Linked DNA regions of Stegostoma tigrinum. The protein of the gene in region 3 interacts with the protein of the main gene of each other region in a pairwise test. Links are inferred from orthologs where the notes say so. Each region holds a gene or a part of one and is shown on either strand. Other genes may lie near its edges. The genes, in order: probable ATP-dependent RNA helicase DDX17, probable E3 ubiquitin-protein ligase MID2, bysl and lzts2a.

Evidence for each region.
Region 1: the proteins of bysl (region 3) and probable ATP-dependent RNA helicase DDX17 interact in binary tests that used the Homo sapiens proteins (3 or more experiments, as listed by UniProt). The two-hybrid records come from large-scale screens. The link is inferred for Stegostoma tigrinum from reciprocal best matches to the Homo sapiens genes BYSL and DDX17.
Region 2: the proteins of bysl (region 3) and probable E3 ubiquitin-protein ligase MID2 interact in binary tests that used the Homo sapiens proteins (3 or more experiments, as listed by UniProt). The two-hybrid records come from large-scale screens. The link is inferred for Stegostoma tigrinum from reciprocal best matches to the Homo sapiens genes BYSL and MID2.
Region 4: the proteins of bysl (region 3) and lzts2a interact in binary tests that used the Homo sapiens proteins (3 or more experiments, as listed by UniProt). The two-hybrid records come from large-scale screens. The link is inferred for Stegostoma tigrinum from reciprocal best matches to the Homo sapiens genes BYSL and LZTS2.

Annotation. Positions count from the first base shown.
Region 1 is NC_081391.1:823,306-830,456, forward strand, and holds the start of probable ATP-dependent RNA helicase DDX17, read right to left. Parts: upstream 3,015-7,151; 5' UTR 2,806-3,014; coding exon 2,759-2,805; intron 1,689-2,758; coding exon 1,520-1,688; intron 1-1,519. UniProt on the Homo sapiens protein: As an RNA helicase, unwinds RNA and alters RNA structures through ATP binding and hydrolysis.
Region 2 is NC_081368.1:43,276,083-43,283,515, reverse strand, and holds the start of probable E3 ubiquitin-protein ligase MID2, read right to left. Parts: upstream 3,019-7,433; 5' UTR 2,925-3,018; intron 1-2,924. UniProt on the Homo sapiens protein: E3 ubiquitin ligase that plays a role in microtubule stabilization. Mediates the 'Lys-48'-linked polyubiquitination of LRRK2 to drive its localization to microtubules and its proteasomal degradation in neurons.
Region 3 is NC_081374.1:14,519,627-14,527,423, forward strand, and holds the start of bysl (bystin), read left to right. Parts: upstream 1-4,796; 5' UTR 4,797-4,956; coding exon 4,957-5,212; intron 5,213-7,797. UniProt on the Homo sapiens protein: Required for processing of 20S pre-rRNA precursor and biogenesis of 40S ribosomal subunits. May be required for trophinin-dependent regulation of cell adhesion during implantation of human embryos.
Region 4 is NC_081373.1:6,413,837-6,420,929, forward strand, and holds the start of lzts2a (leucine zipper putative tumor suppressor 2a), read right to left. Parts: upstream 3,006-7,093; 5' UTR 2,782-3,005; intron 1-2,781. UniProt on the Homo sapiens protein: Negative regulator of katanin-mediated microtubule severing and release from the centrosome. Required for central spindle formation and the completion of cytokinesis.

The DNA.
Region 1 (7,151 bases), on a different chromosome or scaffold from region 3:
TTTGGTAAATCTTGTCTCTGCATTCTTGAAGTCTAAGATAACCTTCCCACAATGGTTCCAGGAACTATCAATTGCACTTGGTTGCTGTGTAAGCACACTTTTGTATAGTTGAACTGCCACTTTAACCCATATATTATATAGTCAGAAAAGTCAACAGTCCGTCAGCTTCTCTTGATCTGTTCAGGAAATCTAATGATCTGGACCCCGTTGCTTCTAGCTTTCCAATCCAGAGAAAGTCACCCATTTTAGTATTTTAGGACCTGATTGAATTACTATACGTTTGATTACATTTAATTTTATTCATCAGTTTTCTCTATTCAATTAATTTTTTTTATCATGCTTTGTGATATTACCTACACTGTTCACAATGACACCTCTCTTTTGCATCATTGGCAAAATCTGGGTATGTGACTTTCTGCCCCATCATGAGTCATTATTATTGATGGTGAATAGCTGAAGCTGCAAAACCACCTACAAAATATCATTAATCCTGCTCATTATCCCTACTCTCGTTTTTTGCTGCTTAATCCATTTCCTAACATGGTCAATAATTCTCTTCTATTTCATTAGCTGCAACTTCAGTTAACAATTTCTTTTGACGATCTTTGATGAAATGTCTTCAGTCCACATAAAAAAAATCCATATGCAACGACATTCTTTCCTTTACTTTAATCACCTCTTCAAAAATTCAACTCACCTACACCACATGCCAGTAGAAACCAGAGCACACATTATAAAAATTAATAGGTTTCAGGATACTGATGATATCAAACAGAAAAATACGGCAGAGAGAGAACTGAGCAGAAACGATCTGTTTGAATGGTAGAGCAGGCTTAATCGGAACACAGGTAGGTGATTCGACCTATATTCATTAGTCATGACTGACTGTTCACCTGTGGGGTTATTTGATCAGCTAAAAGCTTTGAAGTTGTATATTGTTTTTAAAAAAAAACTCCTGCAATTTTCCCCAACAGATGTTAGGCTAACTGGTCCAGAATTTTCTGGCTTTCTTCTCAGCTTTAAATCGCCATAATTTTTTCAATTTAGAAGGAAGGTTCTGATACAAGAGAGTTGTAAAACGTCACAGTTAAGGCCATGCAGTATCGTCAATTAAACAAAATTTGAAAACCACTGGTCTTGGGATTTGTCATTCCTTTCGACCATTACTTTCTTCAAGACTGCTATTTTGCTAAGTTTATTTTCATAACAGCAATTCAATACTTGCAATTTCCAGCACAATGATATTTTCCTTTAATTTCCTAATTGACAATTGTGATATTGGCAGTGACAGTTTAGACAATAGACAATAGGAAGGGTCACATGATAACCACATTAGGGGAATGAGAAGCAAAGTTAGATACAAAGATAGTTATTTTATGAGGAATTGACTCAAAATTAAATCAACAGTTGATATTTCATATCGCAGGATTACAGCAAAATTCTAATATCAAATTAAGTTAGTTACATCTCAGTTAACAACTCACTCAACTTTTGCAACTAGATCCATTCAGATACCCACCGGGCTTAGTCGAACCACTTCAGGGTGCTCCACATAGAAGTTCTTCTCAAATTTTGGCAACTCCTCCAGGTCCCACTTCTTCTTCCTCAAGCGTTCTCCAGGCTGTCCAAATTTCTTCCCAAGTGATGGGCCCCCACGGCTAGGCCCTCCACCAAACCGTGGGCCATTACTAGTGAGAGGAGGTTGAGTCTTAGTCAGAAATAGGTACAACTACAACCCAGCCAGCAATCCACAAATGAAGCCCACATCAGATGTTACATGTGAATTTTATTATTAGTACAGCTAGTAAGTACTATAGGCTACCCTGAGTAAGAAGATTGGAACCATTAAAAAAAAACATTGCCAAGGTGTGAAATTATGAGAGGGGCTTAAACAGGTAAGTGATATAGGGAGGACTGGAGGAATTAGGTCACGGTTGAGTCATCGTGTCATCCAGGGAGGGCGACTCTACGCCTGCGACAGTAAAATGGCTGAACCAAAGACAAGCCAGTAATGGAGAAACACAGCACGGCTGCTCAGACTAGGCCTCGCTGAACGGCTCATTGACGTACGTTACCGGGCGAGAAGGCGAGGTCGGGCTAGAGTCACATTGATTGGGTCAAACACCTGTCAAGCAAGACCCAAACGGGACAGACGGACACCAAAAAGATCCAATCAAATTTAGAGAAAACAGTCCCCGACCAATAAGAGTGCAGTGCCAACGGAAGGCGGGACCACTAGCTAAGCCGGACCCCCTCCATCTTCCCGCAAGAACTCCGGAACCCTCCTTTCGGCCGGCTGACAGAGACCCACATTCATCATCCCATCCTCGCCAGCACACAGGCCGCGAAGCATCGCACCTACATCTCGACCGGGAGGTACATCTCCTGAGTCATCCCACTAATTCCTGGGCATCAAAGTCCACGACCTTTCAGATCCCTTTAACGGCACACACAAGCCCAGATTCCCTGCACCCCGATCAACGGGGGGCGGACAGGGACCCAGAACACAACCACCCTCAACCCCCGGGGTCACTCAAATACCGGACCCCGTCAAACGACTACGCGCAAATGCTTCCTCGCCAGAGATCACGGGTGGCAAAGTCAGCAGCCACGATTCGCCGCCTGGCCTAGGCGGGGCAACAGACCTAGAAACCAGGCCTGGTGGAAGTGCGAGGCCTCTTCCTTGCCAAACCCGCTCCTTGCAAATTGCTTCTTTTGACCCGGAGTGGTAAGTGTGCGGTCCTGTTCAGCCTCCTACCTTCCTCGGTCTCTACCGCGGTCACGGTCTCCACCGAATCCTCTCATTTTCGCTCGATTCTCGGCGTCGGGGAACAAAGAAAAGCCGCAGTTCCTGCGATAGGTTCAGCAGCAACTTGCCGGAAGAGCCGACCCTCCCGCTGGATTCTCGGTTGGGAACAGCCCCCTCCCGCCGGATCCTGAACAGGAACAGCCGTACTCCGCGCCGAAACCCGAAACAGCTGTCCTTCTCCCTCCCGCCGGACCCCAGTCGGGAACACCCCTTTTCCTCCGGACCCCTGTCGAGAACAGCCGCTCTTCCTCCTCCCGCCGGACCCCTGTCGCGAACAGCCGCGCTTCCTCCTCCCGCCGGATTAAAGTCTACCTAGCAACAGAAACGTCACATCCTTGTCTGTTCGAGCATTCAAAGGACGGCCTGCGAAATAAGGCTTGTTTATCAAAACCTACTGTTAATTGCCCAGTTCTGACTTCATGTAGTTTTAGTTTAGGAAACTGTTGCGTGTATGTTAAACACCACCTTTTCCAAAGGCATTAGGAAGCGATGTCAACAGCTAAGTACTGGAAGGTTAACACAAAGGTGTTTTATTGTAAGGGGAATGGAATATAGGAAGTTTCCAGGGCGTTGGTGCGACCGCATTTGGACTATTGTATACTCTACCTATGAAAGATGATACTGGAAGTAGTTTATCCGAAGTTTACCCAGTTTGATTTCTGGAAGGAACAAAAACAAAGTTGCTGGAAAAGCTCAGCAGATTTGACAGCATCTTTGAATGAAATAAAAGAGATAACGTTTCGGGGCCGGTGACCCTTCCTCAGAACTTGATTTCTGGATGAAGGGGCTATTTCATGCGGAAAGTGTGCGTCTAAATCGATTGCAGTTCAGAAGGAGATAACGCGGTGTGAAGCTGAATGAACGCATCGGAGCAACAGGAAAGCTTGACGTTTCGCGTCCCGACTCTTCAGAAAAAGGGTCCCGACCCGAAACGTCAAGCTTTGCTGTTCCTCTGATGCTGCTTGGCCTGCTGTGTTCATCCAGCTTCACACCGTGTTATCTCAGATTCTCCAGCATCGGCAGTTCGTACTATCTCTGTGGCAGTTCAGAAGGATTTTGATTGGGTGAATGGAAAGAATCCTTCCCTCAGGAAGACTGGAATTAGGAAATACAGTGTAAAATTAAACTGTCCTATATGGGAACAGTGATCTCCCAGGACTGGAAATCCATGGAACTCTATTCCAACGAGATGGATTTATAAAATAATATAAACATATTGAAAATTCTTAAAATGCAGGTCGATTGACTCCCTTGTCAGGAATAACACTTCACTTGACCAAGGAACAGCACTCCAAAAGCTCGTGATTTCATATAAACCTGTTGGATGATAACCTGGGTGTAGTTTGACTTCTGACTTTGCCCGCCCCAGTCCAACACTGTCACCTCCACATCAATAATTTAAGGGTAAGGGGACAGGAAAGTATGCTATGCTGAGGCCACAGTCAGATCAACCAAGATTTTATGGAATGATAGAAAGGTTTGACAGTTCAAATGCCCGACTCCTGTACCTAATTTGTATGTTGGTATTGAAATCGTGGAGCCAGCATTTCCAAAATTTGCTGATTTCCACTTGTAACCAGGATGACAGCCTGAGTTTAAATCAGATCCAGAATTAGATTCAAAGGCCCCAATAGTAAGGGGTGTGAGGGGGCTGCAGAAAAGACACTATCGAGTCATACTGCACGGAAACAGACACTTTGGTCTAGTCCCACTTGCCTTCGCTCGGGCCATATCCCTCTAAACTTTTCCTATTCATGTACCTATCCAAATCTCTTTTAAATGTTGTAATTGTATCTGCCTCTACTACTTCATCTGTCAGTTCATTTCATATGCGAACCATTCTGTGAAAAAGTTGTATTTCAGATCCCGTTTAAATTTTTCTCTTGCCCACCTTAAAAATATGCTGGCCAGTTTTGAACTCCTCACAATTGGGGAAGGACCTTGTTATTCACCTTGTCTATGCTCCTTATGATTTTATAAACCTTTATGAGGTCACCCCTCAACGTCCTACATTCCAGTGAAAAAAGTACCAGCCATCCAACTTATCCTTACGACTCAAACCCTCCAGTGCCGACAATATCCTGGTAAACCTTTTTGAATCCTCTCTAATTTAATGATATCCTTCCTACCACAGGCCAACCAGAACCTTATAGAGTACTCCAAAAGTGGCTTCTCCAATGTCTTGTAGCACCTTAACATGACATCCCAACTCCTGTACTGGTCACTGCAATGAAGGCAAGTATGCTAAATGCCTTCTTAACCATCCTGTCTGTGACTTTCAAAGAACCATGTACCTGAACCAAGGGAGCCTCTCAGCACCAGGGACCTGGGTTCAATTCCACCTTCAGGCGACTGTGTGGAGTTCACACATTCTCCCTTGTCTGCATGGGTTTCCTCTGGGTGCTCCAGTTTTCCTCCCACAGTCCAAAGATGTTCAGGCTAGGTGGATTGGCCATGCTAAATAGCCCACAGTGTTCAGGGATGTGCAGATTAGGTGGGTTATGGGGAATGGGTCTGGGTGGGATGCTCTGAGGGTTGCTGTGGACTTGATGGGCTGAAGGGCCTGTTTCCACACTGTAGGGATTCTATGATGATCTATGAACCCCATGGTCTCTGTTCAAAAACACTATCTGTGAACCTATCATTCACTGTATAAGTCATGCCCTTGTTTGTTTTACCAAAATGCAAAACCTTGCACTTATCCAAATTAAAACTCCATCTGCCACTTCGCACTCCACTGGCCCAATTGATCAAGATTCCTTCAGAATCTTCAATAACCTTCTTCACTCAACTGCACCACCAATTTTGGTGTCATCTGCGAACTTACTAATCATGCCTCATAAATTCTCATCTAAATCATTAATATAAGTAAGAAACAAAAGGTGGACCCAGCACCAATCCCTCTGGAATGCTGTTGGTGAAAACAAACCTCTGCTACCACCTTCCGTGTCCTACCATTAAGCAAATTTTGCATCCAATTGGCAAGTTCTCCCTGAATCCCATGTGATTTAATTTATTCATCATTCTACCATGTGGCACCATTTTAAAGGCTATACTGAAGTCTATGTAGACAGCATCTACCACTCTGCCTTCATCAGTCCTTTTGGTTACATCCTCAAGAAACTGAATCATATTTGTGAGACATGATTTCCCTACACAAAGACATGTTGGCTATCCCTAATCAGTCCTTGCTGCTCCAAATGCATGCAAATTCTTTCCCTCCAACAACTGATGCCATCGATTGACAGGTCTATAGTTTCCTGGTTTTCCAGCCTTTCTTATTTCAGAGCACAACATCAGCCACCCTCCAATCCTCTGGCAACTCGCCCGTGGCTGTAGATGACACACATATCTTTGCCAGCGGCCTGCAATTTCTTCCCTAACTTCCCATAACATCCTCGGATTGACTTGATCAAGTTGTGGAGATTTATCCACCTTTATGTTTTTCTAAGACCTCCAGCAGTTCCTCATCTGTAATGTAGACTGTTCACGAGACATCAATATTTATTTTGCTGAGTTTCCATTTCTTTCTCCACTGTAAAAACTGATGCAAAATATTCATTTAGTATCTCTCCAATCTCCTATGGTTCCACATATATATGACCTTGATTTGTATTTTCTCCCTAGAGGCTCTTTTGCTCTTCATGTACCTGTAGAATCTCTTTGAATTATCCTTAAGCTTATCTGTCAAGACAATCTCATATTCCCAAATGCCCTCCTGACTTCCCTCTTAAGAATGCCCCCACACTTTTTATTCTCTTCAGGAGATTCACTTGTTGTCTTTACTTAATACATGACTCCTGACAAAAATGAAGAAACTAAACTGTTAGGAAATATCAAAGCTTATGACTGAAAGGCACTCCATGGTTTTTTTTTAGATAGATTTCACCAAGCCTGTTAATGTAGTGCCATGTAGGAGATTGTTCCATAGGAAGTAAAACGTAGAACATTGATAGCCTGGCTGTAGCAGTGGTTGGAGTTGTCAGAGTGCTGGATAGTCACTGCTGAAATTCCCCAAAAATCAGCACTTTGTCATCCACATTGTTCCACTTTCAAATTGCTATTTTTGGACACTTTTTGTCTGTATATCAATGACTACATGGAGTTAGATTACATTGTGAGATATCAAGAACAAGTTGATCAGATCGTGGTGTCCAGTTGAGAAGAGCAAATAATCATCAATTTTGTCAACTACAATGAACAGGCAAAAAGGGAATAAATGTTGAAATGATAATTAAATGATGTTGGTCTACAAGGGGGCTAGGGTGTGTGAAATATAGAACATAGAACATCGAACAATACAGCGCAGAACAGGCCCTTCGGCCCTCGATGTTGCGCCAAC
Region 2 (7,433 bases), on a different chromosome or scaffold from region 3:
CCACTGACGTCAGTCTCATGAGTCCTAGTTCTTTTTCCTTCCTCACTTGCTTTGATGAATGGCACCACAATTGCCAACATCCAAATCTTCCAGCACCTCACAAGTGGCAGTCTATGGTGGAAGCATCTCAGCAAGGGGCCCAAGCAATGTCTTCCCTAGCTCTTAGGCATTGAACCAACTTTCTATAGGAACCTTTGATTCTCATTTGAGAAGGTAGGGAAGGAAGCGGGTGGTGGTTCTGGGTGGGTGCTCCTCAGAGGGAGGTATGGTCTGTTTCCACACTGTAGAGATTCTATGATCCAAGATAGAGTGAAGTGGTCATTGGCTTTCAGACTACAGAAAAGCTGACAGCAGACATAAATACACAGGATAAGGTTTGTGATAAGTGATTAAATTATCTTGTTCCTCTTGAACAGAAAGGGAAAGATGAGGCTTTTGTCCTAGGATTCACTCTGCCCTTGACTGACATACTGTGCTTCTACCACCTCACTAGTTCTAGAAGGTGACACTTGTTAGTTTCCATCCTTTCCTCTGTACGTGCTTCAGAAATGAAGCAGTGTGCAGAAAGAGATCAGGATTTGAATGAATGGAGGAAGCCTCATATTCCAAGTTTGGGCAGATCACCACCCCCATTTACTCACTGTGTTAACATGCAAGGCTTTATTGAAATAAAACAATTTTAGCTAAATCTAAATTCCACAAGATGGTTTTGTTCATGCTTTTTTGAAGTGCCAACATGCATTTACTCAATTATGAATGGCCAGCCATTTTAACTCCAAATTAAGTGCCCATTCCATCATTTGTCCAGGCAAAGTGCCATAGATCAGGACCTCAAAAACACTAAAGGGTTTTATCTTGTCCTGCATCTGCAGCCCCCACCCCCTGCAGAAAAACCATACTATTGACCATTCTTCTCTTTCAGTAGAAACTCCCAACCCCATTCATTCTTTAGGCTGAAACTTCATTGGTAGCTACAATATTGTGGTGAGTTCCATGACATGTGTTCTGTCACATTCCAGAGCAAATTCTTTGAAGCAGTTTTCACTTTTTCAACCTAATTATGCAACTAAAACAGGGAGAAGTGAAATGGTGAGCAATACAAAGGATTGACCTCTGGTCCCATATTTAAAATTCAGTTGCATTCCAGTGCACACAAGTGCAATCCAGAAATGTCTCCTCCTTTGACTGCCAAACGAGGCCACGCCAATGGACTGAGCCAACCTGGCTCAGTGGCCATGTCCTGTGTCATAAGGGACATCCAGAAATATCAACATCAATAAACACATATGGTCCACAAGGGCAAGAGCAACCATCATCTCTATCCCATTGCAGTTACACATGCATCTCACCACTAACAATGGACAGCAACCCTCAGTTACAAAAGTCATCACCACCAGGATTCCCACCTCCCAAAAGAGTAACTTCCGCACTTCCTACATTGGGATGGAAAACAGAGGATGTATTATTTGTTACATCTTCTACAGTAGGACTTTTACTTGGGGACAAATGCTCCTCACACCCATCTTTCAGTTGGAATGACCATTTACAGGAAATCTCAGGGATAGCAAATTAAGTACTATGCAGGGTGGGTTTTAAATGAGAAAATTCTTCAAGTGTTTGACAAGGTAAGTTCATAGCTTAATGCATTTAACTGGAAGGACAGTCTCAGAAAAACAGGCAGATTTAGCAGTGCCAAGAGCATAAATTGCCTCCGTCAGGAGGGTAATGAATACTTGGAATTCTCAGCTGCACTGTTTGCACAAAATTATTGAATATATTCAATGCTACACAGTGTGGGCACCGCTTAAGGGATATTTGGAATAGAAGGGAAACAGTTGAGGTTGATCAGCCAAGAGCCAGCAGGTTTGAAGGGCCAAATGGTCAACCAAACCTCATATTTCCTGCAGTTTTTTTATATCTATGCTTTTTCCCCCTCTGTGAAAGAAAGCAGTCTTTCACATAGACATTTAAGCACAAGCCTTAAAGATTGTTCAATTGTGGGGGGGGGGGGGGGGGGGGGGGGCAGGGGAGAAGAGAAAGGAAGAGAAGAAGGAGAGGAAAGGAAAAAAAGAAGAATGTTGTGACTGTGTCCAATCCACTCCAATGATTGATAGTGGATTTATCTAACTTCCCAGCTTATTGGCTGGCTACAAGGCTATGTTTTCTTGGGTCAACATAGCATTTCCAGCCCTGAGTAATAAGTAGTCATATTAACCCCTGCTGCCACTCAAGCCATTATGTAGCTACAGAAAAACAACTCTGCTAAGTAGCAGCTCAGGACTAGAACATCTTGCACATACAGCATTGAGCTTTAAAACAAGCCTTCGAGAGGCATGGAGTAGAGACAAAAAAAAGCAAAATAAGAAAGCCTAACATGCAATTTCTGAAGCACACCAGTTCTTTTGCAATATTAAAATTCAATTATTACCTTCCCTTTCTATAAAAACGGTGATTTTTAAAAAAAACTCAAAACTGTGGATACACGATTTGCCAGCCCAAGTGTCTTTGTACTACTTAGTAACATACAGAAAGTCAGTCAACCATACGGATCTGTAACTAATACCGTGCTGTTGAAGTGAGAAATCCAACTTGTCCTTCAAAACATCCTGTCTCATTTGATAATTCTTTCACTGGTGCTGAAAAAGAGAAATCCTAACATTGACTCACTATCAAATTCCAGTCTTTTAAAAAAAAAAGTGCTCATTTTTTCCATTCGAGAACCCCAGGCTGAAGAAGTGCATAAGTAATATTTGCATATGCCCTTAGCAACCTGCCGTCAAAAAGCGTTTTACAAGACATTTGAATTTAAGCTAGGCACACAATAATAATTTCATCACCGAAACAGCATTCTACTGCAATTCTCTCACTGGTAGGTGTAGTTTTCTCCGTTATTTACTTTATGTTAATAAGAAAAAACCACTTACCTTTATCTGTCAGCGTGCACGCTCCTCACCAAGGATCTGTGTTAATCACTCCCTCCCAGTATCGTTTTCCCGTCAGCTGCCTCCTAGCAGTAACGCGAACGAAGTTCAGTTCCTTTGCTATGTTCCGGTCTCTCTTCACAAAGATTTACAAACTATGCTCATTCAGCTTCAATGTATCACCCACCCCATTCCCAACCCTATCATCAAATAGCAAGGCAGGAGCAGAGATTCAGTGAATCATTTCCTTGGGGACACGTGATTTAAAGCTGCTAGAATGATTTTCCTCTCACGAGCAGCTGGGATCAATTAAAATGCTGCTTCATTGCAGTTGGCTGGACCACGGATATCCTCCCACCCTTCTCACTGATTGCCTTTTCCTAATTCGAGCTCTGTCGGAAGCACCAACATTCTTTGTGTTATTAATCTAACTGTCTGGAAACATTCTGGCTTGTGGAAAAAAAACAATGGTATTCTCTTGCTGCTATATATGGTCACAAAGCATCCATTTTAATGGTCTCAGAGGAAATCAATTCTTAAATTGTTTGCAATCAATTTTTTTTCTGAAAAGGAGGTTCTACTGCCTTAAGCAATCGGCTGTAGTGGTGTGATGCTCGAATGGGGATGGAAGTTTTTTTCGATTTAATAAGTTAATGTTTTAAATGTATATTTCTCTTTCCAGATCATGTTGCCCTTGTTCACTTACTGTGACTGGTACTCTCACTGCAGAGTAAAAAGTGCATGGGCTCAAAGCCCTTAGAGGAAACATGAGCACATAATGTGGGCTAGCACTTCACCGAAGTGGTGAGGGAGTTCTGTTGTGTCAGACGTATTGTCTTGCAAATTATTTGGTGCTATCAGAGACTCTGCGTCCCCTCTCAGGTGGATGTAAAAGATCCCCAAAAATTGTTTTACTTCAAAGAAGAGGACAATTCTTCCCACTTATCTGAAACGTCACCAAGCAGAAGACAGATTACCCAAACATTGTGATCAGAGATAATGGGAACTGCAAATGCTGGAGAATCCAAAGTGTGGGGCTGGATGAACACAGCAGGCCAACCAGCAGCTTAGGAGCACAAAAGCTGATGTTTGGGGCCTAGGCCCTCATCCAGCCCCACACTTTGTTATCCAAACATTGATCCAATGTGATCTTGATTACGAGAGAGCTGGATGCTCAATCTTCGAAATTATAGCCATGTTTATACATTGAAAGCGCTTCGAGTCTGTAAATTGCAACGAGACTTCTTAAGATCGTGAAAGGCATGTTACAAAAGAGAGAAATAAAATGATTTCTATTTAGGTACAGTTCTACATCATTTCTGTAGCTTGATCATTCAGACATGGCCCATTTCCAATACAAGTATCAATCAAATTTGCCGCACATTGACCTGATATCTACTCTCATACTTAGCTGCACATTGTTGTGGGAATGTTTCTCTTCTGGTGGTCAGTGGTGCTGATTGAAGTACCTCACGTAGGATCAACTCGGTTGGTACAGGCTAGCCGTTAAATCTGGGCACTTGCCCTCTATCCCTCTGTCAGCTCTAATTCGTGTTGTGCACTTATGAGTTAATTCATTGGCTGTGAAGCAGAGGGAGTGGACAGTGGGGAGTAGCTGGGGAAATTGGAGAAGGGGGCCAATGTAAAGATTTATTGTTATTTTAAAGTATGGGGTTTAAAACACCCTAAATGGTGATAATATGCAGGGCCATATGCTACTTGCAAAATTATATTTTCTAAATCCCGATGTAAATACATTCAAATGCAACTCATTAACTCAGATAAACAATAACAGATATCTTGCTGCACACAGCTAAGTGGTCTTCTGTATATCTAGGGCTGAAATTACCAAGGATATAGGCAGGTGGAAGGCTCAGAATCTCACGACTGCCTGAAAGAGATAGCAAAGATTAGATGTCGGGGTGAATTTGTAATGATTGTCAATCTCGAGCATTCCTGACCTGCCTGGAAGTCTACAATCATGTAAACAGATGTTTGCAAGTTCATCATTAAAGTATTGGAAACAAGATAGGGGTGACCAAAGCTTTTGTCTTTAAGGTGCGTGTTTGTTTTTCAGGCCAAAATTCGATGTAACATGATACTTAACAGCAGATAATTAGTTAGACCGAATCTTCACCTCAAAATGTTTTGATTAGAACTTTGTTGAAAGTGCAAGCTGATAACGGTGGGAGATAGACATTGAGAACTGATTGATAAGTGCTACTGATAACATTTGCTGCATTCTAATAAGATCTAAGAATTGAGAAAAAATAACAGGGATGAGTGAGAAAGAGGCTGCAGAAAAAAGGGATGAATTCAATATTAAATCAGGTACAGAAGAGAAATAAAGGGAGGGAAAGCAGATTGGATTAAGAGAAAGGACGAGAGAAAAGGAAACTGAAAAGAAATACTTTATTAAAAAAATTTGACATTTTTAAAATATCCCCAACTTATTCAAAATCTGAAGGAACAAGACTCCATACTTATGTCACTTTCTGTGTTTAGATGTTAATTGACAATCATTAACATAAACAGTAAATTATGCTGTATTGACATGGAATTATTTTGTGTTGGGTTTTCACAGCAGCTGATGAAAAAATACAGCAAAATGCAAATAAAAGGGAAGCTGAGGACAGGATGATGCCTTTACACGACTGACAGTGGAGAAGTGTAAATTGGACAGCAACTTTAGGATTTGACAATATATCCAGTCCTCCCTTGAAATTGCTATTCCATTTTCATAAAATAACTATAGCATCTATTAGTTTTACTATTATTTTGATTGCATAGTGACACTATTTAAGTCCATATTCCAATTAAGTTCTGCACATTGCAACTTGCAAACACATGTTATGTTATAAGATCATGAACAATGTGGGTAAAAGTGTGAAATGTGGTAGAATCACATAAGAAGTCCACAAATGTCTATCACATCAGGAATAATTCACTTTCTCTTTTAACTGAGTTTCAGGCATTGAGGCAAGATGCTTGTGAGGCAGTTGTGAATTGCCCATTAGGGAGGATTATTGTCTGTAAACAGTCATATTAACTGCAGAACTCACCTCATTAATAAGTAGCTATCCATTGCTTGCATGGCTTGAAACAATCTGGCTGCCAGCAATTCTTGACATGGAAGTCAGAGCAGATACCTGCTGACAATCAGGAGAACCTGCTGATTTCAGCTCACCACTTGTTCCAAAGGACTTGCATGTTGAGCAGCAAACACCAGCATCTCAAGGCACACTCCATGGGCACTGGCCATTATCACCCCATGGCCACAGGTATCCAACAGGTGCCAGCCATCAAGCCCTCATGATGCATCTTCAATCCACTTAAAGGACACTTCTGCACATCAATATTGCACCTCAGGGTGTAATGACAATGTTGAATGTAGTTCTGGACACTTTGCCCTCAGAAACAGATACCTAATTCATGGCCTGAATCCGATTAGCCCTGATTCATATCAAGCTCACCCGATGGTCAAACCATTCCTGCCTTACATGGACTTGCCTTACCTTTTTGGAACTTGTCCTTCACCCAGAGATATTCAGTTCACAGTACTGCTGTAATTACCATATGGGTTTAGCACAGTCAAAAAGCCAGGGAAGTTTATCATGGTTGTAGCTGACATCAGTCAACTCACAGGGCATAGTTTTCAGACAAGGGCCCCTGGCATAATAAGTTAAGAGCAGTATTGAAACATTGGAGATGAGATAGTGGCAATTGCACTGGAGGAGTGGAGAATGTCATTGGCCTTCTTCCTACAGCACATTCCTCCAGCCAGTTGAGGGGGCACTGACTTGGACCAGGCTGATGTGGTCTGGTGTTGTGACCTTGACTGCCTCTGCACCACCCCATCCAGCAGGACCTCCAGGTCACTGCCCAGAAAGCAAGGTAGAAATTTCCCCTTGTCTACCATTTCCAGGGCAAACGTCAGGAACCACGCAGGGCAGCTGTAGACAGACAGTGCTTGTCTAGCTGCACAATCGCCTTGTAAACATAACAGCGGCACCAGGGAAGCTGGTGCATTCCAGGCTATTCTGGCAGTGGTGATTTGTGGAATGGAGTGAGAATTGGGTAAAAATGGCACCAGTGAGGTAGGGTAGGTGGCTAATGAGGTGAATTTAGTAAGTGGGAGAAACCCTCCAGGGAGCTTGCCAAAACTTATACCTCTCCAAAAAACACTCACCACTAAGTTTCAACCCAAAGAGGTTGTTGTGTTTTGATTTAAGACTTTACTAATACAAAATCAGAGAAAATTACAGTGGAGAGGAGACCAATCAGCTCATTAGTACTGCATCTGTGTTGTTCCCCACATGAGCTGTGTTATGTAATCCCTCTCTCCTGCTCACTTACAACATTTCAAGCAACAATTTATTGCCTTTCAATTAATTTATTAACAACCCTTTGACAAAGCTTTGTTGCACAGAATTCCACATTCTAACCGTTTTCTGTGTAAAGACCTGACCTCTAATAATTACTTTGGTAATTACCCTAAATTTGTGTTCTCTT
Region 3 (7,797 bases):
TTGACCTGAAAAGTATACAGATTTTTAATAAAAATGCACATAATGTCCTTGTTTCACCCCAGAAACCACTCAAGATATATATTGTTCTATGGGGACAAACATTTATTCTTGTAGGAAGGAAGTGCAATTTAGCAGAAGTAGAAGGTTATTTCCCACTTTGGAATAATAATGAAGGAAATAAAATCATAACACATAATAAAATTTGGGGAATTACTTTAAATGAAATATACCCCTTAGGCTTTGTTCTACTGACAATAAACAGTGACTTACTTTCTAAAAGTACTTTTGCATATGGATGCACAAATCAGTGTAGTTTGGAACAAGTAAATGTTAGCACCAAATCAGCAATTAACAGAACTGAAGGAATCAGCCAAGATTCCATCTGCAAGTACTTTTTATTGTCAGAATAGACAAATAAACCAAGTTTGTATCTGATCCATACAAGGTAATCAGAATACATTGCAAGTGTTGAAATGTTATCATATCCGCCATATCCTAAATAGAAGAGCATCCACAATTTGCTGTATCTCAAAGTTCTGATATGTTGTCATCTTAACAAAATACTTACATGATATATGTTCATGTCTACAAGTGTTAACAGACATGCAAAATGGTGCTGCAGCAGAAGCATATTGACACAATGGGTTCCCAACAGCTTTAACATTTTGATGTTATCTCTCCACTTGCTGAACAAGGTAGCACGATACTGATTGAAGCGAAGAGGCAGCTGCCAAATTGATCCAAATTGGTTTATGACTATACAGCCTCTTTGGAAGGGCAATTCACCTCATCCCAATCTTCTGCTCATTTCCCACAGCCCTGCTATTTTTGCCTGTTCAAGTCATTATAGAACTATACAGTAATTACATTTCAAAGTTTTAAAAATACTTCCTTCAACCAATCAGGCAGCACATTTCAAAATCATAACAACTTGGGTCTTAAAATCAAATTCTCATCTCCCAGCTGGATATGAAAGAAGTGTGAGAGCTTGAAAAAATGATAGGAAGGGGAGCCTTTGGGAGAATCTGTCTTGTTTTGAATGAGACTGTGGAGATTTTTTTCATTTACTCATGGCATGTGAACATCCCTGGCTGGGCCAACACTTACTGCCCATCCCTGGTTGCTCTTATGAAGGTGGTCGTGAGCCAGCTTCTTGAACTCTGAAGTCCATTTGTCCATTTAGAAGAATCGAGTCTTTAAGTCTTTAAGCAATGGGCAAGGACTGGGATTGCTAATCATGGAGATAGTAGGAACCGCCGATGCTGTAGAATCTGAGATAACATGGTGTGAAGCTGGATGAACACAGCAGGCCAAGCAGCACCAGAGGAGCAGGAAAGCTTGACATTTTGGGTCGGGACCCTTCTTGCTAATTATGGAAACTGGTAAAGGAACCAAAGGTGAGTATAGGGGGCAACTTGTATTTATATAGAAACTTTAATGTCATAAAACATTATGGGTAGAATGAAACTGACTGTGGGAATGTTGGAATGTGGTGTGTCTTATTGAAAATGATACATGTCACATAGGTGCAAAATGCAGTGTATTGGCCACGTGGGTCAGGCAGAAGTGGTTGGTGCTTTTTGATCCAGTGTTTTTTTTCCTCCCTCCCCTCGGGATCTGGGAAAAGAGGGGTATGATTTAGTTTTTGTTTCAACGTTTCTGAGGAGGTGTTGATTCGGAAGGGTATTATAAAAACAAAGTATGATACTCAGCCACATGGTGCGATATTGGAGCCCAGACATTTTGTCAAAAAATAGGTTTTAAGAAGAATTTAAAATAAAAGGGAGATAGAGAAGCGGAAAAGTGTAGGGTGAGTATTTCTGAGCCTGGAGGCCTAGGGAAGATATGACCATATAGTGATTAAAATCAATGAAGTACAAGAAATTAGGATTAGAAGGGCTTGGGTCATTGAGTTGAAGACAGAATGTTACGATGCCAGTAAAACTGACTAAAACCTCGTACAATAGGCATCATTCGACCCATGGAGACCTTATACAGGGAAAAAGACCTTTTAGCCCGTCGTGTCCTGTGCTGGTCATCATGCATCTATCCAGTCCAGTCCCATTTTCCAGCACTCAGTTCATAGCCCATAGCCTAGTATGTAATGGTATTTCGAGGGGTCATTTAAATGCTTTTAAATATCTTAAGGGTTCCCATCTAAACCATACTTTTAAGCAATAATTTCCAGACACCGACCCAACTGGAAGAAATTCCCCTGTAAACTTCCTGCTTTTTACCTTAATGCTGTGTCCCTCCCGTCATCTACCCCGGCTATTAACCACACTATTAAGAGGAAAAGATGTTTCTACCTACTTTTTCTATGACCCCATAATTTTGTAGACCTCAATGAGCTCTTTGTGGTCTAAGGAAAACAATCCCAGTCTAACTGGGTGCATTCTGAGGGAGGGTCACTCGACCCTGAACATTAACTGTGATTTTGTGGCATGGTGGCTCAGTGGTTAGCACTGCAGCCTAACAGCACCAGGGACCTGGGTTTGAGTCCAGCCTCAGGCAACTGTCTGTGTGGAGTTTGCACATTCTCCATGTGTCTGTGTGGGTTTCCTCCCACAGTCCAGAGATGTGCAGGCTAGGTGGATTGGCCAGGCTAAATTGCCTGTAGTGTTAGGGGAGTGTGGATTATGGGGTAATATGTCTGGGTGGAATGTTTCAAGGGGTGGTGTGACTTGTTGGGCCAAAGGGCCTGTTTCCACACTGTAGGGAATCTAATCTAATTTCTCCCCACAGATGCTGCTAGACTTGCTGAGCTTTTCTAGCAATTTCTGTTTTTTTTGCCCCAGTCCAATATACAGGACAATAAAATGTGAGGCTGGATGAACACAGCAGGCCAAGCAGCATCTCAGGAGCACAAAAGCTGACGTTTCTGGCCAAGACCCTTCATCAGAGAGGGGGATGGGGTGAGGGTTCTGGAATAAATAGGAAGAGAGAGGGAGGCGGACCGAAGATGGAGAGAAAAGAAGATAGGTGGAGAGAGTATAGGTGGGGAGGTAGGAAGGGGATAGGTCAGTCCAGGGAAGACGGACAGGTCAAGGAGGTGGGATGAGGTTAGTAGGTAGGTGATGGAGGTGCGGCTTGGGGTGGGAGGAAGGGATGGGTGAGAGGAAAACAGATTAGGGAGGCAGAGACAGGTTGGACTGGTTTTGGGATGCAGTGGGTGGAGGGGAAGAGCTGGGCTGGTTGTGTGGTGCAGTGGGGGGACGGGACGAACTGGGCTGGTTTTGGGATGCGGTGGGGGAAGGGGAGATTTTGAAGCTGGTGGAGTCCACATTGATACCATTGGGCTGCAGGGTTCCCAGGCGGAATATGAGTTGCTGTTTCTGCAACCTTCGGGTGGCATCATTGTGGCAGTGCAGGAGGCCCATGAAGGACATGTCATCTAAAGAATGGGCGGGGGAGTGGAAATGGTTCGCGACTGGGAGGTGCAGTTGTTTATTGCGAACCGAGCAGAGGTGTTCTGCAAAGCGGTCCCCAAGCCTCCGCTTGGTTTCCCCAATGTAGAGGAAGCCACACCGGGTACAATGGATACAGTATGCCTAATTGGCAGATATGCAGGTGAACCTCTGCTTAATATGGAAAGTCATCTTGGGGCCTGGTATAGGGGTGAGGGAGGAGGTGTGGGGGCAAGTGTAGCATTTCCTGCGGTTGCAGGAGAAGGTGCCGGGTGTGGTGGGGTTGGAGGGCAGTGTGGAGCGAACAAGGGAGTCACGGAGAGAGTGGTCTCTCTGGAAAGCAGACAAGGGTGGAGATGGAAAAATGTCTTGGGTGGTGGGGTCGGATTGTAGATGGCGGAAGTGTCAGAGGATGATGCGTTGTATCCGGAGGTTGGTGGGGTGGTGTGTGAGAACGAGGGGGATCCTCTTTGGGCGGTTGTGGCGGGGGCTCGGTTCGCAATAAACAACTGCACCTCCCAGTCGCGAACCATTTCCACTCCCCCTCCCATTCTTTAGATGACATGTCCTTCATGGGCCTCCTGCACTGCCACAATGATGCCACCCAAAACTTGCAGGAACAGCAACTCATATTCCGCTTGGGAACCCTGAAGCCCAATGGTATCAATGTGGACTTCACCAGCTTCAAAATCTCCCCTTCCCCCACTGCATCCCAAAACCAGCCCAGTTCGTCCCCTGCGCCCACTGCAACACACAACCAGCCCAGCTCTTCCCTTCTACCTACTGCATCCCAAAACCAGTCCAACCTGTCTCTGCCTCCGTAACCTGTTCTTCCTCTCACCCATCCCTTCCTCCCAACCCAAGCCGCACCTCCATCTCCTACCTACTAACCTCATCCCACCTCCTTGACCTGTCCGTCTTCCCTGGACTGACCTATCCCCTCCCTACCTCCCCACCTATACTCTCTCCACCTATCTTCTTTTCTCTCCATCTTCGGTCCGCCTCCCCCTCTCTCCCTATTTATTCCAGAGCCCTCACCCCATCGCCCTCTCTGATGAAGGGTCTCGGCCCGATACGTCAGCTTTTGTGCTCCTGAGATGCTGCTTGGCCTGCTGTGTTCATCCAGCCTCACATTTTATTATCTTGGATTCTCCAGCATCTGCAGTTCCCCTTACCACTGATACAATTTACAGGACAGATTGGATGAGCTCTTTCAAAGGGCCAGCATCAGCAGGATAGGCTGGAAGGCCTGCTTCCGACTGAAAGGAAGCAATAAGTATGGAAAGAGACCAAGTGGGAGAAAGGCAGGAAGGAGCACTTGAGTAGAATGAAACTGGCGATGTAATTATGGAACGTGGTGCGTCTTATTGAAATTGATACACGTCGCGCAGGCGCAGGAGTCAGTGCACTGGCCACGTGGGTCGGGCAGACGTGATCAGTGCTTTTCGATCCGGTGTTTTCCTTCCGGCGTCTAGGAAAGGAGGGGTACGATTCCGTTTTTGTTTCAACGTGTCTGAGGAGGGGTTGGTGCTTTAGTTTGGACGGGGTGATGCCGAAAGCGAAGGCGGCTAAAGGCAGGCTAAAGGAGTCCAGGGGCCTGGCCTTGGCCGATCAGATCCTGCAGGAAGATGCTGTCAAACCGATCAGCCGCAACAAGAAGCGGGGCCGGGGCGACGAGGCTGACGATGAGTACGTGGACGAGAAACTGTCCCGCAAGATCCTGGAGCAGGCCAGGATTCAGCAGGAGGAGCTGGAGGCAGAGCATGGAATCAGCAAGAAGAAGAGACCCCAAGCCACGGTCCTGGGTAGGTTTGACTGCACCGTACGGCCAGAAAGCGCGGGAGCCGGGGGTCTCAAAGTGTAGTAACAGGTTTGGTATTAAATCCGCATCACCCAAGGTTGCCAAAGCAGTTTCGAAAAATAGTTAACCAGGCTAAACAAGTGTTGGAATATCGTATGATCTGGAATTCTGTCAAAATTTAAGGGAAAGTTGGATAACTGCAGGGGGAAGAAATAAATGCTGAGCAACTTAGATGAAAATCGTCTGAAGCATGAACGCCAGTAGTTAGTTGGCCGAATGGCCCGACTGAAGGTGCTTTTGATGTGTTCAGTTGAAATAATAACCCATTTCTTTACAGAATCTAACAATCCTGCTATTTACATTTCTTGCGTGGTGTGGTGATTCTAAGACCACAGTTGATGCATACAAACTATCTTTCTTTGTTGAGCGCAGAAGTGAACATTCAGGTCTGTACCACTTTCAATGAGAAATCAAGTTAGAGCCTGAATTGCATTTGCTGTTTTCTTGCTGGTGAAGGAAAAAAACAATTTGGTTCCTTTTTAATAGCTATAATTGAACCTGTATCCGTCACCCTAGCAGATTCTGCCTTACAGATAAGTCACCTCACTCTGTTGGTATTTGTCTTAGGACCCTTCACCCTTAAGTCATTGATAACTTTCTGTTTATGTGCAATATTGTCTTCAAACCCTTTTTTTAAAAAAAACCCTCTTGAAGGCCCTCTTTAGCTTCTTCTCCATGGACGACAACCCTGAAGAAGAGTTAATTTGGACCTTTTTAAAATTAATTTGTGGGATGTGGGCATTGCTGGCTGGCCAGCATTTCTTCTCTGTCCCTGGCTGCCCTTGAAAAGGTGGTAGTGAGTTGCCTTCTTGAACCGCTATAGTCCACCTCCTGTCAGAGGGAATTCCAGGATTTTGACCCAGCAACAGTGAAGGAAAAGTGTACATTTCCAAGTCAGGACAGTGAGTGGCTTGGAGGGGATTTGAAGGTGGTTGGGTGTTCCCATATCTCTGCTGTCCTTGTCCTTCTAGATGGAAGTAGTCATGAGTTTGGAAGGTGCTCTCTGAGGATGTTTGGTGAATTTCTGCAGTGCATCTTGTAGATGCTACACACTGTTACTACTGATGATTCCGTGAGTATGACTTTGTCAGGCTGTCTTCACTAGTCTGTGAGACAGCTCTCCCAATTTTGGCACTAGCCCCCAGTTGTCAGTAAGGAGGATTTTGCAGGGTCTACAGGGCTATTTCTGCCATGGTCTCTTCTGGTGCCTAAGCTGATGCCAGGTGATCCATCTGGTTTCATTTCTTTGAGATCTTGTAGCGATTGGTACAACTGAATGGCTGGCTTTCTAGGCCATTTCAGAGGGCAATTGAGAGTCAACCACACTGCTTTGGGTCTGGAGTCACATGTAGACCAGACCAGGTGAGGATGGTGGATTTCCTTCCCTGAAGGACATTAGTGAAACAGACGGGTTTTTCCGACAATCGATGACGATTTCATGGTCGTCAGGAGATTCTTAATTCTGGATCTTTTCATAAAAAGTTCTGCTATGGCAGGATTCAAACTTGGAATCCCAGAACGTCAGTGATCGCCTTCCCGATGACATTGATTGATTTTTTTCTCTCTCTGTAGACGTTGCCAGGCCTGATGAGTTTGTAAGTGAAGAGTTAGTTCTCCAAGTAGTTGTTATGTACCTATTTGTAAAAACTGGAAATTTCTTTGTATTGTTAATGACTAATACTTTAGGACATTAATGATGTATTGTTTTGCTATTGGATCCTTTGGACTTTTGGAGTTTAGGAACAGGAGTTGACTATTCAGCCTGTTGAGCCTGCTGTAGATTCAATATGATCACAGCTAATTGTCCAATTCCATGTCTTTTTCCCCCCCACACTATCTTCTTACTCCTTAATATCATGGGTCTTGAAAAATCTGTCAATCAAACAAATGCAGTGAATGAGCTTCCACAGCTCTCTGGAGTATACATTTTCAAAGATTCATGTTCCCCCAAAGTTTTTTTTAAAAAAAAACTTCTCATCTCAGTTCTGATAGGCTTCCCCATTATTTTCAAATTGTGACTCTTGTTTCTAGACTTTGCAACCAGAGGAAACCCCTTGTCTGCATCTTTCCCATCCTTCACTTCAACTATTTTGTAGATTCCAATGAGATGACCTCTCACTCTATAAAATGTCATCACAGTTTCCTCAGTCTCTCTCTTCAAGATTAGTTGAACATTTTGAGATCTGGTAGAATTTCAGAGCACCCCCTCTATAGTGGTATTACCCTTCTTAAGGTAAGGGCACCAAAACTAGACATGCTGTGCACTCTGGATGCAGTCAAACCAAGTTTCTGTATAATTGAAATGAGACTTCACGATTTCTGTACTCACATCCTCTTAACATGGAGAAAGGCTAACGTACCATTACCCTTCCTAATTGCCTGTTGCACAGGATTCTCTAGTACAATCAGAAAATGGTAAAAATGTGTAGCAGCTGAAATGGAAAGGAATTGAGGGGGAAAAAAAGTTAAGATTTGGATGGAGATTGTTAATCTGATCATTTTCTTTTTAGTTTGTGGTATCAGTAAGTT
Region 4 (7,093 bases), on a different chromosome or scaffold from region 3:
AAGCTAGCTGAATAGGAAGCAATGTGCAAGACATAAAAATGCTGCAGTGGGATAGTGACAGAATGATTCCACAAGGTGGTGGTGGATGGGGTATAATCCAGGAAAAGGTGAATCCGAGATAACAAAGTGTGGAGCTGGATGAACACAACAGGCCAAGCAGCATCTTAGGTGCACAAAAGCTGACGTTTCAGGCCTAGACCCTTTGTCAGAAAAGCTTTTGTGCTCCTGAGATGCTGCTTGTCCTGCTGTGTTCATCCAGCTCCACACTTTGTGATCTTGGATTCTCCAGCATCTGCAGTTCCTACTATCTCTAAAGGCGAATTCTCTAGCTTGGTAGTAGAAATGAAGGAGCAGCAAATTTTTGAAACACAGTAGTAAACATTGATGTGAGAGGGATCTGGAGATCCTTTTACACGAGTCATAGAACATTAGCATGAAGGCAACTGGAAAGCTGAACCGTTTGCTTTCTCTGCATAGGAATTGGAATATAATATTACAATCCATATGGTTTGAAAGCAGGCCATTCAGTCCAAGAAGTCTATACCTACCCTCCAAAGAGCATCCCACCCAAAGCCCTGTAAACCTGCATTTCTCAAGTCCAATTCACTTAGCCTACACATCCCCGGACACTATGGGCAATTTAGCATGGCCAACCCACCTAACCTGAACATCTTTGGTCAGTGGGAGGAAACTGGAGCACCTGGAGGAAACACATTCAGACATGGGAAGAACGTGCAAACTCCCACACAGACATCGCCCGAGGGTGGAATCGAACCTAGGTCCCTGGTGTTCTGAGGCAGCAGTGCTAACCACTGAGCCACCGTGCTGCCCCTAGTAACAGCAAGAACATCTTGCTCCAATTATATACGGTGGTAAAAGCCTATACCTGGAAGTACAAAGGTACAATTTTGGTCACCTTACCTAAGAGGGGTATGCTTGCATTGGAGTGGATGCAAAGGTTCAACAGATTGATGCCTGGGACAAGAGTGCTGGGCTATGAGGAACAATCAAGTTAGTTCGGGCCTGTATATTCCCGTGTTTAATAAAGAAGCAGTGATCCTGAGTGACCCCCTCTTTGAAGGGTCTAGGCCCAAAACGTCAGCTTTTGTGCTCCTGAGATGCTGCTGGGCCTGCTGTGTTCATCCAGCCTCACACTTTATTATCAGTGATCCTGAGTTACTGTTTCTCCCAGCTGCAGAGTCTGAAGCTATGGATCATAGTCTTAAGATAAGGGGTCAGCTATCTAGGGCTGAGGTGTGGGAAGGATTTAGAGGGTTACGAGTAATTGAAAGTCTGGATCCTGTAAGACGTGGACGAACAATATAGTCTTTGGGACGTGAGCATTAGGGGATAAAAGGGCTCTGGCAGAAATGGGGCGGAAAAACTGAGCTGTGGGGAACATTCTGCAAAAGAAAAACTTATCAGCCTTACAGACTAAGGCACATATGGTCTGCTCCTATTTATGTACATTTCATTTGCATTGCACCTTTCACAACCAATGGGCATTCTCAGAGCACCGTATGCAATTAAATTACTCCCTTGCCAGTCACTGTTGTATTGAGGTAATGTGGCACCCAAATGACAGTGTGATAATGACCCGATAATCCGATATAAGGCATGAACATTGACCAGGACACTGGCGAACACAGCCTTGTTGCTGTTCGAAACCTGCCTCAATCCTTTACTGTCCATCTGAGAGGGCAGGCGGTACCATAGCTCAACGTCTCATCCAAACATTGGGACCCAAGCGTTGGTCTCGACTGTGGCACGCAGCAGAGATGCTTGAGCCCGCAACTTTGTGACTCAAGAGTGTGAGAGTCACCCACTGAGCCCCAGCTGAGACACACATATAGGAGAGGCAGTCTATTCATACCAACTTCTCTAGCTTGTTGAATATTAACAGGCACCTCCCAACCTACAAACATCTCAGCAATAAACAAGTCTTTCTGATTTAATGAGGGGTGCAGCAATTGCAATGGGGAAGGGGGTGTGGTCAGACCACTTTGAACACAACTCCCCTACCCGGGAGACCAAAGGCCAATAGAGAACAGGCTGCTGTTATACAGAGACCGACATCAAGAGTATCTGTACATTTCCACTTTACAGGAAACATTATCCAGAAACGTACGCCAAGATCTTTCCCTTCACCTCTGGGAAATTACAGTCTACCACAACAGCACCAAACACATTATTAATAACGCAGATCCAATTTACTCGCTAGCTTCGTGTTTTATGTATTAAGTTATTGCCAGCAGAAAAAGAAAACACGACCAGCAAAAACAAAAATTTAGAAATTTATGTAGGAGCTAAAAACACAACCCTGGAATCCAGCTCAGCAGAAATTCTCCACAGAAAGAGGAAAAAAAACGTGTTTCTCTCTTGTTTTTCAACAAAGAGTTTATTCTGTACCTCTAGAAATTTCTCTATCTCCTTCTTTTCAGGGGTGAGAGCCTAGCCAGGAGCATGTTAGGGGTGGTCTGGAAGCAAAACTGCCCCTCAGATTACACACCGCGCCAACCAAGCAATTCAGAGACTCCATTCCAGCAGAAATAAACTGGGTTTGCAGAGAGATAATAAACTTTTACTCTCAGTCTCGTAAAACAATATAAGTAGGCTTGACTAATGCATACGATTTGTTAAATAGCTGTTGCGCCCAGTTCCAGGATAATTTGTCATTTTTCTCTCCCCCACAGACACATATCAGGGCCTGGAGGGAGAAGTGTGTGGTTTTACAAGGAAAACGACAAGCACTATCGACCCGTACTTAAACCACACACTCACCGTCTATCGACTCGCCCTCTCCCCTACTTTCAGTTGCGATCCAACGAGCCGCTTTCAAAGTCAGTTCAAATTTCTCTCTCTTTCCTCGGTCTAGCCCCACACCTTTACGCCGCTAGAGCCGGCCAGCATGTTTCTGTTCGATGCATATGCACATACAGAGTGGGGAGAAAAAGGGCCGATGACAAACAAACACGCAGAACTTCCTTCAGTTCCCTTCAGCATCTGTCAGTAACAGGATTTGCTTGTCAGAGTCCCACCCCTTTTTTCTTCTGCAAGGGGAGGGATATTGGAGAAACCTATCGCCGCTGCCTTGGGAAATCATCAGTCATGACCAGTCTGTGCTTCCTGAAGCCCCTGGATCCCTGAAATCTGTGGTTCTGTTCTGCTTTGGTTCAGTTGCTGAATCCCACCCTCTGTTTCACGTTTGAAACTTGACACATCAACATTAAGGAGTTTGCAATAATGGAGACTGAATCCCACGTTTCAGAAAAAAATGCTGAAATGGAGATGATTCTTTTCTAACAATAAATAAATACACGAGATAACAAGGTGTGGAGAGAGATAATGGGAACTGCAGATGCTGGAGAATCCAAGATAACAAAGTGTGAAGCTGGATGAACACAGCAGGCCAAGCAGCATCTCAGGAGCACAAAAGCTGATGTTTCGGGCCTAGACCCTTCCCTTCACTTGTCCCTAAGAGATTGACCCACAACTGTTTATTTCTCCTACCCCATTGGAGAGATGTACAAAAATGAACAAGAATTGTGGCCCCGGGGCGGGGGGGGACAGTGGTCGGGGTAGGGGAAATGGATCATTCTGGTTTATCTCTGGCAGGCAAAAGTCGTGGTTGGATGGACTTGGAGTGACAGCCAGTTCTCAGACCCCCATGGACAAAATGTTTGGGAGATGGTGCCACAGGCAGACTGTCAGCATCAAGACCTCCCTGCATTGATATAGCAGCCTTTAGTGCAGTTCCTGGGGCTGCACAGGGCTATTCAAGGTCAAATTCCACACTGAATCAGGTGACAAGGTGCTGGACAAGACATTGAACGTGTGGTCAAGGGGATAGGTTTTTAGGAGGTTTGAAGGTGGGACGGGGCAAGGTTGGACCAAATAGTGTCTGATACAGAAGCTAAATCGACATGGTGGTGAAGATGCAATTTGAATTCATTAAATATCTGGAATTAAAAATCTAATAATAACCATGGATCCATTGTCGATTGTCAGGAAAAACCCATCTGGTTCACTATTGTCCTTTAAGGAAGGAAACTGCCATCCATACATGCACCCACCTCTACATGAAAAACCTGCCTGTTAGGTCCCTTTTAAATCTTCCCCCTCTCACCTTAAACCTATGCCCCACCCTGGGAAAAAGATTTTGACTATTTAGCCTATCCATGCCCCTCACCATTTTATAAACCTCTATAAGGTCAGCCGTCCACTCTGATGCTCCAGGGAAATCAGTCTCAGGCTACTTAGCCTCTTCCTATACCTCAACCCTGGTAACATCCTTGTAAATCTTTTCTGAACCCTTTCAAGTTTCAAAACATCCTTCCGATAGCAGGGAGACCAGAATTGCATGCAATACTCTAAAACCAATGTCCGGAACAGCCACAACATGACTTCCCAACTCCCATACTCAATGTATTGACAAATAAAGACAAGCATACCAAACTCCGTCTTCACTACATTGTCTACCTGTGACTCCACTTTCAAGGAACTATGAACCTGTATTCCAAGGTTTCTTTGTTCAGCAGCTCTCCCCAGGACCTTACCATTAAGTGTATAAGTCCTGCACTGATTTGCCTTTCAAAAGTGCAGCACCTCACATCTATCTAAATTAAACTCCATCTGCCACTCCTCAGCCTTTTGGCCCATCTGATCAAGATACCTTTGTACTCTGAGGTAACTTTCTTCGCTGTCCACTACACGTCCAATCTGGTGTCATCAGCAAACTTACTAACCATACCTCTTCTGTTCACATCCAAATATTTATATAAATGACAAAAAGCAGTGGGCCCAGCACCAATCCTTGTGGCACACCACGGTCACAGGCCTCCAGCCTGAAAAACAATATTTGACCACCCCCTCTGTCCTCTCCCTTCAAGTCCTCTCCCCATCCCCCTCTCTGATGAAGGGTCCAGGCCCGAAACGTCAGCTTTTGTGCTCCTGAGATGCTGCTGGGCCTGCTGTGTTCATCCAGCCTCACACTTTATTATCTCTGTATCCAAATAGCTAGTTCTCTCTCTACTCCATGTGATCTAACCTTGCTAACCAGTCTACCATCAGGAACCTTGTCAAATGTTTTACTGAAGCCCACATAAATCACGTCCACCGCTCTGCCCTCATCAATCCTCTTTGTTACTTCAAAAAACTCATCAAGTTAGTAAGACACAATTTCAACATACAAAACCATGCTGACTTTCCCTAATCAGTCCTTGCCTTTCCAAATCCATGTAAATCCTGTCCCTCAGGATTCCCTCCAACAAATTACCCACCACCAATGTTAGGCTTACGCTTTATAGTTCCCTGGCTTTTCCTCATCACCTTTCTTAAAAAAATGGCACCATGTTAATCACGCTTCAGTCTTTCGGCACATCACCCATGGCTGTTGATGATGCAAATATCTCAACAAGGGGCCCAGCGATCACTTCTCTAGCTTCCTACAGAGCTCTAGGGTACACCTGATAATAGTCCCAGGGATTTATCCACAATTATGCGATTTAAGCCACCCAGCAGCTTCTCCTCCATAATAATCGCTATTTATTTCCTCACATTCTACATCTTTTTCCACAGTAAACATGATGTAAAATGCTCATTTAGTATCTCCCCCATCTCCTGTGGTTCCACACATAGGCGGCCTAACTGATCTTCGAGGGGCCCTATTCTCTCCCCAGTTACCCTTTTGTCCTTAATGTATTTATAAATCCCTTTGGATTCTCCTTAACCCTATGGGCTGTGAGCGTCACTTCTATTTATTGCCTGTAAGAGCCAACCATATTGCTGTAGGTCTGGAGTTACATGGAGCATAAGGTAGGGAGATGGTAGGAACTGCAGATGCTGGAGAATCTGAGATAACACAGCAGGCCAAGCAGCATCAGAGGAGGAGGAAAGCTGACGTTTTGGGTTCAGGCCCTTCTTCAGAAATAAGGTAGAACTTCAGTATAAGATAGAACTTCTTCACCCAAAGGTTTGTGAATCTGTGGAATTCCCTGCCCAGTGAAGTCATTGAGGCTATCTTATTGAGTGTTTTTAAAGTAAAGGTAGATTTTTGAACAGTAAAGGGAATTAAGGGTTCTGCTGAGCAGATGGGTAAGTGGAGCTGCGTTCACGGAAAGACCAGCCATGATTTGATTAAAGAGTGGAGCAGGCACTTTGCTTTCCTGAACCAGGATGGGTTTCTCCACCTCCTGAAATTAAATACCTCATTCCAGATTTTTTAACTCAAATTCAAATTCCACTTTAAACCCAGGATCCACAGAACTTTACCTCTGGCTTAGCGTTAATGCCACTAGGCCGTCACCTCCTCTGTTTCTGATGACGCTGTAGTGGAACAGTTTGTGGGGGTCTGTAATGCGAACAAGGAACAGCAAATTCTGGGAAACAATTAAAAGGGAAGGAGTGGTTTAACGCAGTGCCTGATGAGCAGTCTTTAGTGTGTAATTAATGAATAAAATCCTTGAATCGTGGAGCCCATGATGAAAAGATTGAAGATTAATCTGGAGCTGAACTCTCAATGCTTTTCACTGGTGCCCCGATTCCCCTCCCATGCTAATGGATTTCTGGTAAGTCTGCTCAGAAAAAATGATTAGCTGACAATTATGTAGCTGGATCAGGGCTGGCTTTCATTCTTCATGGGCCACTCCAGGCTGCAGGATCTCTTCCCTCGGAAACCGTCCGAACACAAGATGAACTTATTATTCAATGAGCCAGTTAATTATAAGCTACAACATGTGTTGAATTATTTATTTGAATAGCCTGCCTGTTCTCCACACTTGTCTTTTAATTGAGAGGACAAGGTTTGAGTTTGCATATTCTCCCTGTGCCTGCATGGGTTTCCTCCCACGGTGCAAGGATATGCAGGTTAGGGTGTCATTTGAGAGTTGCGGGGTGGGGGTGTAGGTTCTTGAGTCCCTGTGCAGTGACAGTGAAGCTCACACAAGGCGTAGGAAGGGTGCGGAAGGTAATAGTCAGCACTCTGTGCTCCAATGCCAGGACTGATATCTTCATTTCACTTGCTGCAACATGGAAAGGATCTGACACCTTTTCATGGGGCATTGCATTCTTGTTGTGGTCACTGATCTCTGCTGGG